Caenorhabditis elegans: one gene and its partner. The protein of the gene in region 2 interacts with the protein of the main gene of each other region in a biochemical or structural test. Each region holds a gene or a part of one and is shown on either strand. Other genes may lie near its edges. The genes, in order: rnt-1 and bro-1.

Region 1 (7,255 bases), 600 kb from region 2:
GTAAGCGCTTGCCTGTTTCCATCAAAAATTGCCATGTTCTCATTACTATTCGAATATTTTATATAAGTTCCGTCGCTCGTAGTTCTGTAGAAATAATCAACGTAGTTTATGTTTGCTGAAAACTATGAATGAGAAAACTCCCTGTGAATCATATTGCATCTGTAACATCTTTTTTTGTTTTCCCCTGTAGCGTTTAGTTTGGGCCTTCTTAATTGTTTGTTTTTTTAATCAATTTTGTTATTTTGTTGTGTTTCTAATCATCCATCTCCCAACTCTTATCCGAATCTGATGCCATTTTTCCTTGTCATTCGCAATCAATTCGTATGCCATTTTCTTGGTCCCATCTGTAGATTTAAACTCTCCGCATTGCGTTTTACCTCCCTCTCGTTTAATGTATACAAGAAGAATCGAAGGTAACGTTTTATCTTTTTTATCACTTATAAAATTATTCATCTTAAGTACTCTTTCACATCCTCCCCAATTGCATATTTTCTCGCAGATTGCGCATTAATTTTTTTTTCGAATAAAATTTTTTCGATAGTACGACTTGTTGTCTAGTTGAATTCAAACCTGAAACTTTATTAGATATGATGATAATCTATTCCGATTTAGATCAAAACTTGTATTATTATACAAAAAAGGTTGAAAACCGTTAAATGAACCCGTTGAACGTGTTTTAAAACGAGAATATTGAGAAAAGTGACTGAAGAGGTAGGAAACAATTGAGATTTGGAAATTGAGAGAAATTTGGTGTGTTGTGGTAAAATAATGAATATTTTTAAGATTAAAAAGGCCTCCAAATAGTCGGAGAAGAACTATTCGATGAAGTTATTGATACATTTCTTCGTCTTTTTGATTCTACAGATTCCGGAGTTTCTTGAATTAAATTAATTGAAGTTTCTGATGATTTTGTGATTGAACGAGGAGAAGATGGTCGTTTTAACTTCCGATCATCAGAAGTTGGAGTTATAAAAATTGATGGAGATGATAGGCATGTAGACGTATTAAGGGATACTGCAATTAATAAATTATATATATATATTTATTTCCGAAAAAATAATCTAACCATTTTCCTGTTCAACTTTTTGTTTAATCGGAGTTTTCATCGATTCGCTGTGAATTTTCCAAAGTGCAGCTGAGATAGAAGGATGTGGTCCTGGAGAGATAAGCGGAAAAAATGATGGGCTGAAAAATATAAAAATTATTTTATGAATAATGTGAAATTCGAAAAACTTACGGGAAAGTTTGAGTCATTGGTAAAGGAAACCATGGTGGTGGAATCATTGTCATTGGCATCTGAAAATTAAATTTTTAAAAATTGTTTGCAATTTTTTCATGAATGTTCTTCTACAGTTTTTTGCAGAATTTTTCAAATTAAAAACATTTCAAAAATGAATGAATTTTTTATATTGGGGACGCAGAAAAATGTGAATTTTGAAATTGGGGGTGTGAGCGCGCTCCAACGCCAAAAGTCTCCGCCCCCAAACGCTGGGTCTCGTTAGGTATTATCGGATGAATTTTATATCGAAACTGATGCCATAAAATTCATAATCAAATAAAAACCCTTATTCACTTTTCTGTACTTTTCAAAACATTATTTCACAGTAAAAATCATTAGAGTCAATTGAGAGTAGAAACAATTTAATTCTCGAAATCAGGTGAAATCAGCAAAAGTTATTGAAAACGTTTGAATTTCTGATATTCCCGCCAATACCTAACGAGACCCAACATGAGGGGGCGGAGCGTTTTCATTTGCCTCGATTTCAGAAAAAGGAGACTACTGTACTTCTTAAAGTCACATCCTTTTTTTCTCAGGCTTTATTCAACAAATTCTGGTAATTTCGAGACCCTATACTTAAGTAATTAATACAAAATTTTGTTTGTACAAAAATCAAAAAATCGTACCGGTGGTCCAGGCGTTCGGATAATATCATTTGGGAATATTGTCTGCTGTTCTGCCTGCCGTTTCAAAGATCCTTGTGGTTTTGGTATTCTCGCATCCCTTGGTCCATCAACCGTAACCTATAATTAAATTAATAAGTTTTATCGTATTAAACTGACATCATTTCTTCCCATTCCAACATATTTGGCTTCCTTTTTTAAAAAATAAATTTGAATAAATAAACCAAAACTCAATGCAACATAAGAAGTTGCAATTGATAAGAATATTTACCGATTACTAGGCTTTCTGAAAACTAGTTTTTATTTGTAAAGAGGTGTACCAGGTGACGCATCGTGGTTAATAATCAGATAAGAGAGTACGGTAGTTGATGTGCGGTAAATCTATACATTGTTTTAGAAAACTTAAAGATGGAGTAGTTAAAGAGGGAATTTTGTATAAATTTGTACTCATAAAATAACTGATATCATAAAAACGCTTAAAATTTTTTTTGATTTCCTAACATTTTTGGGAGATTCTGAGCAATTTCTCATGTTTGCCCCAACAAAAAATTTAAAAGAATAAAGCTTTTTTTGGTCGACTTCCAAAATTTTGAGTGGCAATTACAGGGTCTCGACACGACGGAAATGTTTTAAAATGTTAGCTATAGAATGGAATACGCTCATTAAAAAGTATGTAGTTCTCACGTCACAACTTTTTTCGATTTTTCGTTGTTTTTTGTAAAATCAGATGCTCGAAGAGAAATAAGAATTAGAGTGGATGTAAAACTACAGTACCCTTGAGAGGTGCATGCTCCTTTTTATTCCAAAAAAATCAGTCGTTTCGAGACCCTTAATTTGTATTATTCATTTGCGAGTTGTAGCAGCCAAAAAATCTATTTTGCCTCAAAAATAGCACAACTTCGGTTCTGGGTAGGGAAATATTTGGTAATTTTTGAATCATAAGTTATCCAATTAATTCAAAAAAAGATTGATACTTACTCAATGTAATTATCAATTACCTATAGGCGCATTTAAAATCTACATGATATCATATAAATACATTCCCTTCTCCTTAGAATTCCACAAAACTTCCCACAATCCATTCGGATAAACTCACCTTGATCACATTTTTGACGGTGGCCACCATCATCGGCGCCGAATGTATAACGATTGTCAAATGGAATTTTCGGCCTGCAAAAGACACAAAAAACGATTGGAAAATGTGCAGTTTTATTATGAGCCGACGATGTTCTTCTCCATTCCGCCGCCGCCGCCACCTCACAAAAAGTATCCCATTAAATGCGGGCATTTGTCGCGCATTTTTATGTTACACTGATGTTCCGGATAATATAATGGCTCCGGTCAGACTACTCAGGTGGAATCATCAGTTTATTGGAAAATTTTATTATTTTAATGTGGAACACGGCCGTTAATGTATGCGCTTTTAAAATGAGAAAATGTTTAGACAGAAGTGGAAAAAATGATAAGAAAACACAAATCAATAGATTTATAAGAGGTTAAATTAATTTTTTGGTTTTTTGATACAACTAAAAGTTACATGCACCATACGTTATTATAATAAACCGTGCATTTCCATGCACTTCCCAGAGCTCAACTTTGGAATTTTACATATCGGTTATTTTATATTTATTGATAAATTTAGGAAAAATGAAGTTCAAAGCCCATAACGTTGTAATTGATAGATTGATAGAAACTAATAGGTAGAATATGAAATGTATTTATCAGGGAATTAAATTATTTAATTTACTATTAGTAATTTTAGGAAGTTTCATTTTTTTTTGTCTCCCAAGTGTCATACTTTTTCTACCCGCATTCTTACCTCTCACCACTTTTCTCTACTTACCTACCAATTGCAGTTACATATACAGTACTTCTTTGTCAGTTGACTACTTTGTACTAATACCCACAAATATGTGGTCATTACCCCTTTTTTCTACCCGCGCCAACCGGTTATTTGGCTACAGTACTCACCTCTGCCGGACCGCCCGACAAACCGCAAATCGTTAAATTTTGCCACTTGTCGATGCACTTTTGCTTTCTCATTTCGAACTTCTTCGCATGGTTTTTCGTCATTTCCAGCCCAAATTGATACTGAAAATATTATTTGAGCAGTGAAGAAATTGCTTTTTTTATTTATTTTGAAATATAAATTTCAACATAAAGCAATGCAAATATAAGGTTTGTTTTATCATTTTCAGAAATGCTCAATCACATGATTTCAACAATAATTCAAGAGAAGGCAAAATTCCAAAAAAATCATTCCAAACTTATTTCAAATCGTAGAGAGTTTTGAAAAAAGTAAAAATATAAATACGAAAGTGAATCAAAAGAAAAATCAATAATTTACCTTCTGTATTATCTGGAACAGGCGTTAGTAATACAACATAAAATGGTTCTTGAAATGATTTATTTGATCTCCAATGCTTCGGAAGAGCTGTGTATAAAATGTTTGGAGATGATGATTTCTGAAAATTTATTGTTTTGTAAAAATATCTCACAATTCTTTTACACTCTTGTTCGTCATTATATAAAATGTAATATTTTTCGATTGATAATTACAAAGTCAATTTCAATGAAACCTCTAAAACTCAACAAAATCATCGAAATGCTTGTGGTTTGAGCTGAATACTTTTATGATAAGAGAATGAAGATTACTGTATTCATTTGATTACTCAATTTCCAACCGATGCAAAATCAATATACTCTATGTCTTGCAAAAAAAAGTTCAAAAACAAAATGTAAAAATGTTGCTATAAGTTGTAGTTTGGTGTAGTGTAATTTTTATTTTTCATTTCATACCGTCTCGTAAATCTTTAAGATGATTTGATAAAATCTGCTCATAATTGACTATGGAAAATCAATACCCTAGAGTCATGAACTACCGTATACTCTCAAGAAAAGGAAGAGTTTTGAAATTTTTAAAAAAGTACATTTAAATTTGTAAAACTTTGCCGGGAAAATTAACTCAACTTTTTCTAATGTTATGAACGAAAATTAAAAAAAAACTGTAGAAATTCCGTTCACAGACTAGATAAATTGTAAGTTCTTTTACGTTCGGATTTTTGGAAATTTTAGGAACAATTGTTAAAAGTCACTGTAACAAAACCAAAATTTCCCAATTTCGAATCGAAATGCTCAATTCAAAATTATTGTGATATACAGGTACAATTTTAAAGTTAAAGTGACTAGATTATGATTTTAGGAAAAATTGAAAAAATCCAGGTTTATCAATATTTCAGGTTTTAAAAAACGATTTTTCTTCCGAAAACCGAATAAATGACTTAAGAAAGTTTAAAAATTGAAAACCTAAGACTTCGAAGTTTTTTTATAAAGAATCACAGGTGTTCAAGTGCCATACATACCTCTAATGTTTTAGCAGGTGCAGGTTGTTGCTCTATAAAATTCCGAACGTGATGGAAGACGTTGGTCATTTCTGTTAGTTTCCCAGAATACTTCCAGCACTGAAAATGAACATATTTAATTGAGTAGTGATAGAAGGTATTTGAAAATTCAAGAACAATGAAACTATTGCTTGCAATCATAATGACAAAAAAAAATTAGAGATCTGAAAGCTTCATGTACATTTTTTATGGGGGTTTCAAGGCGGAGTAGGGAAATTATTTAAAATTACTACTAGTGCTTTTTGTGACCAAATATCATAGTGCATTTTATTATTTTCAGACAAACAGTGACAAATGCTCATTATAATAATTTTGGAAGTCAACCAAAAAATGTTCTACGAGTTTTATTTTTTATAGGAATGCAATAATACTGAATTCCTCGAAAGGTCCAAATGTTTCGAGGTATTTTTCCAAAACTGTCAGAAGACTGAAAAAAAAACTGACAAATCTGAAACGTTTTAGTGTGTCTTATTTGGATACTCAGATTAAAAAAAAAACATTTCGAGTATACATATATGTTTTTTGACAAAATTTCCACTGATCCTTCTCCGCCTTAAAATTATATTTTGATCCATAAAATTCAAAGAAAAACATTTTTTTCGTCGAATAAATTTTAACATAACATTTAGTAAACAAATAAATAAAAACAAGATTGCCAGAAACGAGCCAATGATGTCTTTTGGCCGTGCAACCGCAAAAACTAGATAAATAGACGATTGTGCTCCGTTTTCAACTGATAAAGCGGAAGTGTGGTTTGGAAAGAAACGAAGTTTCAAAATGGGTGTTTATATGTTCAAAGAAGACACACCTATGAAATTGGTTAAAGAATTTGAAAATTACTAAAACGGAACGAAACGAGGGGAAAAAGATTGTTGAATTCCAGAGAAAAAAGGAAGTTATTTTATTTGCTTACACATTCTTTAAACTACCAACTTCTCAAAAATTGATAACTCTATTCAAATAAAGTTTATGAATGACTTCAAATAAGAAAATGAAGAAAATTATATATTCAACAATTTTCCAAGTAGACAAACATTTACTTATGAATCTAAAAAAGTTTAATAACCTACAAGGAAGTTGTGATAGAGTTGGAATATATTTGCATCTTATTTAATTCTTTACAATTTCAATTTTTGTTTCTTTTCAAAAGTTGCTGGATTTTGCCTTTCCTTTTCTAAATATTTTAAAATTTGTGGTAATTTAACAATTTGGCAGTTACCAAATTAGAAAATATTTTGAAATCGGAATTTCCGGAAATTACCAAACAAAACATGCCCAGGAGACAACTTAATTGTAAGAACGTACAATATTTTTTCACTAGGTAATCAAATAATTTCTCCAAAATCGTCCACCATTTCTCGTTATTTCAGATTCGAGTTTTCGCGATAAGAAACAATGAAATTACGGTATTTTTCTTATTGCTCTAACAGAAGTAATTTTGAGTAAGGGGATGGTACTAGAAATATTTTTTCTTATAAAACTTATAGGATGACTCTTTAAATATTTTATATGATAACTTTAAGAAAACTCATAGTTATTTGGATTTCCGGTTTCAAAGCTTCGTTCATAGCTGAAACTCATGTTTGACTTATTAACTGTGAGTTTGTTTTTCTGAACTAAATATTTACTTCAAACTTGTCACAAATTATTTGTTGAAAATCGAGTATTTCAGAAAATCAGAGGTAAATTTCAAAATGACATTGGGGGCGGGCGTATGTGGCTTGAAAGGTGTTGGCGGGCGGTAGATGGGGCGAAAAGATAAAGGACAGGTACTGAAAACGATGAATTGAAAGCGAAAAAAGAATGAAGAAAAGATGAGGTAGACTTTTGAGTAGGTGGGGGAATGAAAAGGACCGCAAAAAATGAAATGAGCGAAAGTGAAATGGAGAGCGGTGAAAGGGGTCAGGGAAACGGGATAACGGGGAGATTTTGGAAATATTGCGGTTTTTCGG
Region 2 (5,075 bases):
TTGAAAGTGTAAAAAATCCTGAATGAGCAAAAGAAAAACAAAAAATGGCTTGAAAACAACTTTGATCGGATTACTGTATCTCTTAAAGGCGCATGGCTCACTGCACAACTTCCGTTCGAAAATTTTCCGTTCGTGGGGAGAGCGAGTGCAGTTTTTTGCGTGAAAAAACAATATTTCCCATTGAGGGTAAAAAATATTATGATTCTTCGTTCAGTCTACTTAAAAAAAAAACCAATTTCCAGTCCTCATGGAATTACCGTTATCCACGCAGAAGTCCAAACTTTTTTTAAAACATGAGCGTATACAAAACATTCATTTATACAAAACAAAAAATTCATCCATTCAGAGTAGAAAATTTATTATTCATTTCAGACTTTTCCACCACGTAGGCACATTTGCCTACCTACATCTAACAATCATATTTGGCTTTCCAATTTTAATATCGACATGTACCCAAATACGTTTAATGTTTTATGATGATTCTACGGCTTTTTTTGCCCTTGTCGGCAGATCCTCAAAGAAATACTTGCGCGAGTTGAGAATGGATTTACAACATTCCTAATTTTATGTACATTTGAATGTCATCCCTCTGTCCCCGTTCAATTCACGAAGCATAGGACCTGCGAGTTGTAACAAGTTGGTAAGTGTTGTGGACCGACATTAACACATAAATATTACAACTTTATTTGATTCAATTCGATGAAAGAGAGAAAAGCGAACACAAGGAGATCACAACAAAATGCAAATATATAACGGAAGTGTGGAAGAGATTGAGAGGATAATATTTGAACATAACATATCACAGGGGGGGGGGGGGGGTGGGAGTTATGTTAATAAACAGGCAGTGGATTTATTTTAGGAAGGGCTTAGATTTTACCCTCAGATTTCAAAATTAGATTTGTTTTTTTTTTGGAAGAACTATACATTAAAAGTTTAAGTGGCTTTCAGGGAGTTTAAACATTTCGCAAGATTTTTGGAATTTTTAAAATTAACGCGCTTTGATTTTCTCAAAAATTTTCCAGAAGAAAAAAATTCTTCTATAAATTTCAAAGTTCTGATATGATAGAAGTGGTGAATCACAGCTGTTAAGTTCCCGGTAGAATTTCGAAATTGCCAACTACTACCTTTATCAAAAGCAAACCTATCTAGGTTTACTAATGATAAAGACTTCAATAAGGTGACTCAAAAATTGCCAACTTTTGGAACTCGAAAACTATCACATAGATCTGTTTCTAAATATTACATACAGATTGTCACATATTTTAACCCGTTGTTAAAAGAATCTCCGTTTCAAATGGGAAGACCATCGCGTCGAAGGGCAGCAATTTCAGCATCCGTCAGTCCAATTGGCTCCTCCTCAACTTCTGGAAACACGAAGGTTTCTGAAATCACACGATCACGCTTCTCACGTTGAAATCGTTCGAATCGAACACGTCCCTCCAGTGATTCTGAGTTCATTGCTCCAATGACTTTTACCCAAATTCCATTGAAAACCAGTGGCCGAGAACGGAAACTTATCTGCAAATTTATCCGAATTGAGGATTCAAGGAAAATTTTAATAAATAATTAATCACATTTTGATGTACTTTTTTAGGCTCTGCAAATGGAGTATCACCAGTGCTATGGCGTTAAATTCACCAAATATTAAATATAGTAAAAATTTTCAATAAAATTTTGAAATTTTGTGAACGAAATAGCAGTTCACCTATCATATCTCATCAAGTTGACCAAAAAATGTTTTTTCATCAATTTCGTATATTATTAACATTTGTGTACTAACATTGTAGGGCTCAAATCTGCAGTAATACTTAAAAAATTCAAATTTTTCGAAAATTCGGTAATTTGCCAAAACTTTGATTGAAAATTTTGAAAAATTAAATAAAATGTTTGGGCTAAATTTTGATTTGGTTTCAATTGAAATTTCAAAATTTAGCAAAAATCAAAGCACTTTCTTCTTCGATCTTGGAAGACGCTTACCAATTTTCAAATTTTTTGCTTTATCCCTGGAAAGTTTAAAATCTCGATTTTGTGGGTTTCACGGAACGGATTTTTTCTACAAAAAATTTCACTAAGAACGATTTCTAGGCCCTAATGAAAATGTGGTTACAAAGATGATTTAGATATCAAAACTGATTGTGAACCACCTTTTGTGAACAGATAAAAAATTTCAAAAAATTTTTGAAATGTTATCTATGATATTTGATACTTTTTTTATTTATGCTTAATTGAAGTTAATTCCAACATTTTACTAAATCCCACCTCATTTCCATTAGTTTGGGACCATTCCAACTTGACAGGTATATTGATTCCCGTCTTGCAGAAAGTCTGAAAACACACATACGATGATGTGGATTGTAATCTTGTCGGATCTTTGTCCTTGTTAGATGACATCTAACAGTGTCATTCCATCCATTTCTTTTCCACCTACTTCTTCAATCTGATAACTCTACGTAACGGGAATGTGTTGAAATAGGCAAAGAGTGTATGTTGTTGTAGGTTCTAGTGATAAGAGAGTATGAAATGCGGAAGGAATTATCAGCACCAGCTCAGAATACTACTGTCAAAATAATAACGGAAACATCTAAAAGATCAAAGAGACTTTTTTTTCAGACTCAACCACATAGTTTTCAAAAAAGATCTTTCTGTGAAATTTTTTGGGTTTATCCAACTCAAGAAAATAAGAAAACAAATATATATTTAAGCAAATTTTTTTGATAATAAGAATTTTAGATTTCAAATCCTCCTTGGAACACTCACCAAGGGCATTTCATCTCTCTCCACATGAACCCTAAACCGCTCCCGTCGTTCTGAAAGTGGAGCATGCTCGAATAGAGAGAATTTGGCTTCTGTGAAATGTGAAAGTTGTGTCAGAAAATAATCAGTTTGGAACGATGATTGCTGGTCCGTTGTCGTTCTTTTCATGTTTGAGAATATTCACCAAGTGGAAGAAGGTGGACAAGAAATAGGCGCTCACCGACAAATGTTGTCGGAAACCCGACAGGCGGGTGGCAGGAGGCGGAGTCACAAGAATATTAATGGTGTGCGGGAGAAAGATGAACAGGAGGTAAAGTTGGGAAACATTAATGTAGTTCCTTCAAATTGTTGATAACAATACAATTGTTAAAAAGTAAAACTACAAATGCATACTTATGCTATTCGCTGGAAACCCATTTTTGTCAAACGTTCAATTAATACGTTCCAACTTTTTTCAGACTTCAGTTTTCCCAGTCCGAATTGCCATATTACGGGAACACAAAATTCTGAGAATGCGTACAGCGCAACATATTTGACGCGCAAAATATCTCGTTGCGAAAACTACAGAAATTCTTCAAACGACTACTGTAGCATTTGTGTCGATTTACGAGCGCGATTTTCAAAATTTATTTCTTCTCGAATAGTGACAGCGATATTCCATTTTCTTTAGTTTCTTCGTATTTTTTGCCATTTTTGTTTTTTCTTCAAATATTTCATCGCTTAATAAATGATTTCCGTAAACCGACACCAGTACTACAGTAGTCCTTTGAAGAATTACTGCACTTTTCGCTACGAGATATTTTGCGCGTCTAATATGTTGTGCAATTCCCCATTCTCAGTGTTGTGTTGCTAGTCTCAAAAAATCATATTCCGATCACTTCTGATACTAGTATTATTTCAACCTTAACCACATTTTTTCCAGTAAACCATTTTTATTCGAATCGAATGTTAGTTATAAGTGATCTGACAATAAAGCAAGTGAGTAAGTACAATAATCGAAATATTTAAATCGTTATTTTTTCGACGAAATTGGACTGATTTCTCGATGAGGGAGTTCTTTCCGCACAACCATGTTTTGGAACTCTTCAGCGCATTTTGTGGAGATCTGGAATTAGTTTTTTGGCTTTACATAACTTTGTGTTTGAGCTGAAAAAGCTGCAAAATTAAAAATACACAATTCTCCTCGGGTAGTACACAATCTGCGTAAATCTACAGTTAGTAGTGTTAGAGGGTCAAAATTTGTTGACTTTTTACAACGTTTGACTGAAGCCAATGCTTTTTACAAAAAATATACTTTCGAATTTATAGAAACGAAAACCTTGATAATCCGTCGTTGCTCTCTGATAATATCTCCCCATAAATAAAATTGTCCACATGTTGGGCAATTGGCTTTCAGCGGGTATACGTGGTCCACATGTTCGTTTTTCAGTTTCAAACCGTTTTCCGACAAGCATTTGGAGTGAAAATGTGATGGACAAGTTGCGGAAATACATCTGACAAGACTCCAGAGCTGAAAAAAAGAATATGTTCTTGAATTCTTGAAATTTCAAAATGAAATTCTCACCTTCTCAATATCTTTTCCACAAATTCTACATTCTCCCATTTCCAAATAATCTTCTCGTTTCGATGGCACCAGGCTCATCTCTTTCTTCACTTTTCCAAAACGAAGTTTTGTGTGATCCGGTGGTACACAGCTTGTTGGAAATGGAAGTTCTTCTGTCTGAAATTTTGAGAGAAAAAATCTCGAAATTTCTGAAATGTTCGAGGGAAAAATTACCGTAATCAGCCATCGAAAAGTGAGCGCAAATCGGCAGAATGCGGAACTGTTCATCAGTTCGCAGGCGATACGGAGTCTGAAATTAAATTATTTTAATTAATTAATTAATTATACTTTAATTAAAGGTATTTACCCAGACTTAAAATTTGTGATTTTTGCGCCAAAATACGGTACACGGTCTCGACACGACAAAGTTTTTTTTTAGTTTTCGATAATAAAAGGTATTTTTATTGGATACAATGAAGCCTCGATGAAAGTTCAGCAGCAAAAAATTATTAAAATTACAGTACTCTTTAAAGGCGCACACCTTTCTTATTATTACAAAAAATTATCGTCTCGAGACCGGGTACCGTATATTGACGCGAAAATTGCAAAACTTCGCGTCTTGGGAATATATTTCCTTACTGAAATGCGAACGGAGTCTCTTTTCTCTCTTTTCTCAACTGTTTTTCCTTCAAAGATTTTGAGACCAGTGGGTTCTGCCACGCCCACTCAAAATGAAGAGCTGCCACGTGGTTCGGGAATCCATGCACAACACATACCA

What was found.
Region 1: of the proteins of bro-1 (region 2) and rnt-1, one has a biochemical effect on the other in vitro, tested with the Caenorhabditis elegans proteins (2 studies listed by BioGRID, with this or other methods).

Annotation. Positions count from the first base shown.
Region 1 is NC_003279.8:5,781,919-5,789,173, reverse strand, and holds rnt-1 (Runt-related transcription factor rnt-1), read right to left. Parts: upstream 5,364-7,255; 5' UTR 5,334-5,363; coding exon 5,265-5,333; intron 4,533-5,264; exon of another isoform or gene 4,512-4,532; intron 4,368-4,511; coding exon 4,250-4,367; intron 3,994-4,249; coding exon 3,874-3,993; intron 3,073-3,873; coding exon 2,999-3,072; intron 2,023-2,998; coding exon 1,906-2,022; intron 1,297-1,905; coding exon 1,238-1,296; intron 1,186-1,237; coding exon 1,067-1,185; intron 1,015-1,066; coding exon 785-1,014; 3' UTR 564-784; downstream 1-563. Other genes in the region: cpb-3 (Cytoplasmic polyadenylation element-binding protein 3), read left to right, coding at 1-4. UniProt on the Caenorhabditis elegans protein: Transcription factor. Binds to regulatory DNA sequences in order to modulate transcription; negatively autoregulates its own expression, perhaps dependent upon CBF beta homolog bro-1.
Region 2 is NC_003279.8:5,184,832-5,189,906, reverse strand, and holds bro-1 (Core-binding factor subunit beta homolog bro-1), read right to left. Parts: upstream 2,982-5,075; 5' UTR 2,923-2,981; coding exon 2,758-2,922; intron 2,326-2,757; coding exon 2,260-2,325; intron 1,519-2,259; coding exon 1,291-1,518; 3' UTR 667-1,290; downstream 1-666. Other genes in the region: slx-1 (Structure-specific endonuclease subunit SLX1 homolog), read right to left, coding at 3,767-3,859, 4,073-4,264, 4,319-4,474, 4,532-4,607, 4,937-5,075.